2 linked regions of the Saccharomyces cerevisiae S288C genome follow. The main gene of each other region encodes a partner of the protein of the gene in region 2 in a complex. Each region holds a gene or a part of one and is shown on either strand. Other genes may lie near its edges. The genes, in order: TCA17 and TRS33. A codon is read from its position in the direction of its gene.

The links.
Region 1: the proteins of TRS33 (region 2) and TCA17 are in contact, whole or in part, in a cryo-EM structure (PDB 7E8T), measured with the Saccharomyces cerevisiae proteins. Residues at the interface, in NP_014758.3 of Saccharomyces cerevisiae: Lys133 (codon at 2,195), Glu136 (codon at 2,204), Leu137 (codon at 2,207), Ile139 (codon at 2,213), Phe140 (codon at 2,216), Asn142 (codon at 2,222), Asn143 (codon at 2,225), Pro144 (codon at 2,228), Asn145 (codon at 2,231), Leu146 (codon at 2,234), Lys147 (codon at 2,237), Phe148 (codon at 2,240), Ser228 (codon at 2,480), Leu229 (codon at 2,483); in NP_010866.1 of Saccharomyces cerevisiae: Glu13 (codon at 1,133), Ser56 (codon at 1,004), Leu57 (codon at 1,001), Asp58 (codon at 998), Ser59 (codon at 995), Lys80 (codon at 932), Gln81 (codon at 929), Thr82 (codon at 926), Gly83 (codon at 923), Glu110 (codon at 842), Arg113 (codon at 833), Lys114 (codon at 830), Ile117 (codon at 821), Lys120 (codon at 812), Cys121 (codon at 809), Asn122 (codon at 806), Pro123 (codon at 803).

Annotation. Positions count from the first base shown.
Region 1 is NC_001137.3:63,999-67,374, forward strand, and holds TCA17 (Tca17p), read right to left. Parts: upstream 1,170-3,376; coding exon 711-1,169; downstream 1-710. Other genes in the region: seripauperin PAU2, read left to right, coding at 1-92; FRD1 (fumarate reductase), read right to left, coding at 1,387-2,799. UniProt on the Saccharomyces cerevisiae protein: Required, together with the TRAPP II subunit TRS33, for TRAPP II complex assembly or stability, and for proper Golgi localization of TRAPP and the Rab GTPase YPT31.
Region 2 is NC_001147.6:538,159-541,263, reverse strand, and holds TRS33 (Trs33p), read left to right. Parts: upstream 1-1,798; coding exon 1,799-2,605; downstream 2,606-3,105. Other genes in the region: DNA-directed RNA polymerase III core subunit RPO31, read left to right, coding at 1-1,501; mitochondrial HMG-box protein CIM1, read right to left, coding at 2,810-3,105.

The sequences.
Region 1 (3,376 bases), on a different chromosome or scaffold from region 2:
TGATCACCGGTGTTCCATGGTACTCCAGCAGATTAAAGCCAGCCATTTCCAGTGCTCTATCCAAGGACGGTATCTACACTATCGCAAACTAGAGACAAACGCCAATTTAATGAAGGAAATGCTATGAAACTTAGATAATGAAATAAAAAAAAACCCTTTTTTTTTTTTTGGTAGTATAAATATCTTTATACGTACATACGTGAACAATCACATCATATCTGTCAATTCTCGTTGTAACCATAACCTAGCACTTATTTCAGACTTTCCAAAGGTCGCAGTATCTTTATGACGAGCCATCCCATGTAAAAATTGCCGTGCCGGATATGAAGTGACAAAGATCAGTCTATATCTCGGAAAGCCAACAAATATCTTCATTATGAAGTAACGTATAGTGATTGCTTCCACATCTGTTCAATTCGGACAATTTTCGTTAGCAGTAGAGTCAAAGCGATCGCCTTAATTGTCTCCGTATCTTATTTATTCATGAACAGCATGACAATTGACAGTCACTTGAATGAAGTAGAAAGTTTGATTGTCACGGTCATCTGAGATATACTACCGGCACCTGATCCCCGCTAATTAGGCAAGGCGAAACTGTCACCAAGTTGGACATATTAGACATTAATAACTTCTCTGAATCGCTCTCACTCCAAAGCAGTGACATTAAATTTTGCTTTCATTCGTGAAAGAATCGACTAATAAATTATCATTTATAATTCAACTTCAGTTGAAATAAACAACTCATCAAATTTTCTTTCCAAGCTTTTTATAATGGACTTTTCGTCACCGCTAACAAGTAAAGGATTACATTTGACACGTATATAGATTTTTCTTACGGTTTCGAAAATCTGATTGATTGCTTCAAATTCATCATCAGCTCCACTTAGGCTTTTTTGTTCAAATCCAATGACAATCTTCAGGCCCGTCTGCTTAATCAACATAGCAAATACAGAGACACCTTCCAATTGAAAAATTGACTTCAGAAGAGGTTTGGAATCTAAAGAATGCCATTCAACCAAAGCACTTTCAAAATAATCTAACGATATGTTAGAAAGCACGTTATATTTGAGTACATCATTCATCTCATTCTCCGCCTCATTAGGGACGTAAATCAATATAGGTTTATCAGATTCATCTATCAATGATACGAAGCAAGGCCTCAAGCTCATAGTTTGGTGATATAAACGTACAATTTGATTTTTGGAGAGAATATTTACTCAATTTTCAACTCAATAACTTTTATGTAAAATGTTTCTTGGCCGTCGATGAGCTCTTCCGGCAGAACTTCGAAAGTGAAAAAAAAAAAAAAAAAAAAATAATAATAATATTAATACTACTTATATACTATTAAAAAATCGTTTAGAAATGATTCATTTATAAAATTCGTTACTTGCGGTCATTGGCAATAGATTCAGCTGCGGTTCTCCCAAAGACAACGCATTCTAACAAACTTGAACCACCCAACCTATTGGCGCCATGAACACCGCCAGAAACTTCACCGGCCGCGTACAGGCCTTTTAGTAGCCTTTCGTCGTTCTTGCCAATGACTTGAGCCTTGACATTGATTCTAGCACCACCCATGGTGAAATGGACAACCGGTGTTACTTCACCAATAAAAACCACAGTTTCTGGAGTAACGTCAGAGCCAAATTCGTTGAGAATAACGGTACGTCCCAACGGATCAGCCTTGGTAGTGAAGGAAGAGTATGTTTGCAATTCCTCGCATAATTGGGCGACAGTGATTGGTAAATTATATTCAGAAACAACTTGAGATAATGTCAATTTCTGTACAAGTTTCTTGAACATGTAAAAATCTAAATTATTCTTCAAATCTGTGTACATTTTTTCGCCCATAACCAATAGTGCTCTGTTATCCTCTTGAGGACAAACCTTTTGAATAGCTGCAGTGACTACATCTCTTGTGGTCAATTCGTTGACAAATCTTCTACCGGTAATAGGGTTTAATAGGATACCACCAAGACCTCTTAAGGATTCGGCAGCCAAGAATTTCCAGCTTGAGCTACGGTCATTTGGATCAATGAACCCAGTTGGATGAACTTGAATTTGGTCCATGTCAATCAGATCAGCGCCTAACTTCTGCAGAAGCCTTTGACCATCACCAGTTGTTTGTTGCCCGTTTGTTGTTGGCAAGTTCACCAGTTCGGGTGCGTATTCTTTAAGCATTTCCTTAGAAAAGCCAAACCCTCCAGAACAAAAAACGACATCGTTAGCACTCACCATGTGCTTTTCGCCATTCTTGTCCTCGTACACTACAGCAGAAATGGAGCCATCCTTTTCATGGATGTCTACGACTTTACTGTCTAAGTTAATCTTAACTAACTCTGGTTTAGTCTCAGCTAATTTCTTCAAATTGTTAGATAAGGCAGAAACAATTTCGAAACCTGGAGGCAACTTCCCAGACGATCTGTGAGTTCTTGCCACAGAGTGGCCACCCAATTGAGCCAATAGGTCCAATTTCAAATCAAATTCGTTTTTCAACCATTCAATAGCCAGGGGAGAATCATTGGCCAACTTAGCCATTAATTCTTGGACACCTTTACCTTTAGCAGACTTGATGGTGTCATCTTCAAATAAGCGTGGGGAGTCCTCGATGTGGAAGTGACGTTGAGTCTCGGTGCAAGCACCGTTAATACCACTGGAGGCCTTGATAGAGTTCCCACCGATCGAGGAAGCCTTTTCGAGGATGGTTACAGGGATGTTATACTTGTTAACCAATTCATTGGCAGCAGCCAGCCCGGCCAAACCGGTTCCAATAACAACAACGGGAGAGAGAGACATTTACAATTACGGATGAGGGGTTGTTGAAGTGAAGATAAGAAAAAAAAATGGGGTGCTATGTCAGCGTATTGTTCTCAGCTTTTATACGTGCAATAGATTAAGCTGTTCAGGAACGCGACGCGTTGCCCCCGTTACCGTTTGAAAAGAAAAAAATTTTCTTTTTCATACCTGTCTCTATTGTTTCAGTCATTCACTGCATGATGACAAATGAAAGAAGAAAGACAATAGTAGTAAAAGCAAAAAAGGAATTAAAGTGAACGTTTTTTAGACTCTTACGCATACATATAAATATATATATATATTTGTATAAAAGGTGTACGTCGAAATCCTGTGAAGAAACCCTGCGAGAATATACATGGGTACATTCAATCTTAATACGTAGTATCGTAGAATACAAAGAAATGTGCTTCTCCACGTGGATACGTACCGTTGTAAACTTTAATCAAGTACCAAAAAAACCAAACATATTCAGTCGATCTCTCAATGGGGAACAAAGAAAAGAGGTTCTTACCTTTTTTTCCTCCTTCCCTCAGAAAGACCACCTTCGTCCCTCCATAATAGGGTAGTTAGTCGCTAG
Region 2 (3,105 bases):
AACTGCAAACGAAATATTAGGACCATTGGAGGAAAGGTTGGTCAGATATGATAATAGTGGATGTTTAGTGAAAAGGGAAGACTTGAATAAAGCGGAATATGTGGATCAGTATGATGCCGAGAGAGATTTTTACCATTCCTTAAGAGAATATATTAATGGCAAAGCAACTGCTTTGGCTAATTTAAGAAAGTCCAGGGGAATGTTAGGCCTATTAGAACCTCCTGCAAAAGAATTACAAGGTATTGATCCAGATGAAACCGTTCCTGATAATGTTAAAACATCTGTAAGCCAACTTTATAGAATCAGTGAAAAATCGGTGAGAAAGTTTTTAGAAATTGCTCTTTTCAAATATCGTAAGGCAAGACTGGAGCCAGGTACTGCTATTGGTGCTATTGGTGCTCAATCCATTGGTGAACCAGGTACACAAATGACATTGAAGACCTTTCATTTTGCAGGTGTGGCTTCCATGAATGTTACATTAGGTGTTCCTCGTATCAAAGAAATTATCAATGCTTCCAAGGTCATTTCTACACCTATTATAAATGCTGTATTAGTAAATGATAACGATGAAAGGGCTGCTAGGGTTGTTAAAGGTAGAGTGGAAAAGACACTGCTATCTGACGTAGCTTTCTATGTCCAAGATGTTTACAAAGACAACTTGTCTTTCATTCAAGTGCGTATTGATTTAGGTACGATTGATAAACTACAATTGGAGTTGACCATAGAAGATATCGCGGTTGCTATAACCAGGGCTTCTAAATTGAAAATACAAGCCTCTGATGTCAATATTATTGGTAAAGATCGAATTGCAATCAACGTATTCCCAGAAGGGTACAAAGCAAAATCGATATCTACATCTGCGAAAGAACCAAGTGAGAATGATGTTTTTTACCGAATGCAACAGTTACGTCGTGCGCTTCCTGATGTTGTTGTTAAAGGTTTACCTGATATTTCTCGTGCGGTTATTAATATTCGCGATGACGGCAAGAGGGAATTATTGGTTGAAGGTTACGGCCTGCGAGATGTGATGTGTACAGATGGTGTCATTGGTTCTAGAACTACAACTAACCATGTTTTAGAAGTCTTTTCCGTTTTGGGTATCGAAGCTGCAAGATATAGCATTATTAGAGAAATTAACTATACCATGAGTAATCACGGTATGAGTGTCGATCCACGTCATATCCAACTATTAGGTGATGTGATGACATATAAGGGTGAAGTGTTGGGTATTACAAGATTTGGTTTGAGTAAAATGAGGGACTCTGTTTTGCAGCTAGCCTCCTTCGAAAAGACAACTGACCATTTATTCGATGCGGCCTTTTATATGAAAAAGGACGCTGTTGAAGGTGTTTCTGAATGTATTATTTTGGGTCAAACGATGTCGATCGGTACCGGTTCCTTTAAAGTTGTTAAAGGTACTAATATATCTGAAAAGGATCTGGTTCCTAAGCGATGTCTATTTGAAAGTCTCTCAAATGAGGCAGCTTTAAAAGCGAACTAAAGTAGTCGTTTTTAAACTTTTTTATAGCATTTGTATTATTTTTCTACCACAGTCATTTAACGTATTTATACATATAAAACTACATGATAAAAACCATGAAACAAAATTTACTTATAAGAAATTTGCTTTCTTCACATTAGTAGAACCAGCGTATCGTTTTCAAAAACTCGCGTCAACGTTTTGAGACCAAAAATGCTAAATATTTTGGAATCTGGTATGCACTCACAAGCTGAGAGTGAAGACCTCATGCCATAAAAGAAAACATACACCGGTTATAAAGTTGGAAGATAAACAATTATGTCCTCTACACATAGTAATAATGTAGGACATCCCCAATCTTCTCCACAAGGTCCACTAACGGAACAACAAAGAGCACAACAGCAATATCAAATTTTTGAGAATTCATTACCAAAAGTAAGTCAATCTGTGTATCAGATGCTGTTGAACGAGATGGTTCCTCTAGCTATGGGCATTGAGAGGCAAATATCAGGCGATGTTATCAGTTCTGATAGCAATGTAACTTCCGAAAATGGTAACATCAACAATATGATAAAGAGACTGAAGATAGAGGAACATCATACAGTAGATATCATACGTTCTCATAACTTGATACATGAGCTGTATAAGGCGGATGAAGAGGAAAAAGAAAAGGTTTTAGCAAGACTGAGGAATATTGGGTTTCAAATCGGATTGAAGCTGTCAGAGTTATTGATATTTTCTAACAACCCAAATTTAAAATTCAAGGAAATGGACCTTCTATTAATAATGAAGTTCATTTGTAGGGATGTCTGGAAACAAATATTTGGTAAACAGATCGATAATTTAAAAACAAACCACAGAGGAACCTTTTACCTTCTTGATTATGACTATCGACCTATTCAATCATTTTCTTTGGAGGAAGATGCAAAAAACGAGGAGTTAAAAATGATAGAACCGTTTTTGGAGATACCTGTGGGAATTATTAGAGGCGTGTTGTCTTCCTTAGGTTATTCATCTGAAGAGGTCATTTGCTTGGCGTCTTTTATCGACAGGCCAACAGATAGGCCTAAAACAGCTTTTCCCAAGGGAGTTAGCTTCCATGTTCAAGTCACAATGCCGCAGTAAAGGTCCGACAGATTTTTGTTCTAAGAATGTACATCGACATATAGATAGATATAAGTGTGTATATAAAAGAACAGGTGACTCCGTTTTCAAAATAATACCCTTACTATAAAATCTTGACAATAATTTCTTTGATCAAGGTACATATAGTCTTTATGATAGTGAAGTGCTTTCGTGGACTCTTCTTAAAGCCCTAAAAGTCTATTGTCATTTCTTTTTTAGTAGGTACGTCATGGGAAGAATATTATTTGGTTGTGTATTTGTATCGTGATTCGCTGCTGTAAGATAGGACTCACTTCTGAGACCAAACTTTGACATGATATCCATGTTTTTTTGTAATATTTGTATCTCGTTATCCATCATTTCCTCAAATTTTGCCCTCCATACCTGTAATTTTTTTCTAATTTCTAGTTTCTGGTCATAGTCAACCTCTTCGTTCCAAGCATACCGGCATTCTTTGCACATTTGTTGAAACCTTTTCATATAATCATAAAGGTAATTTT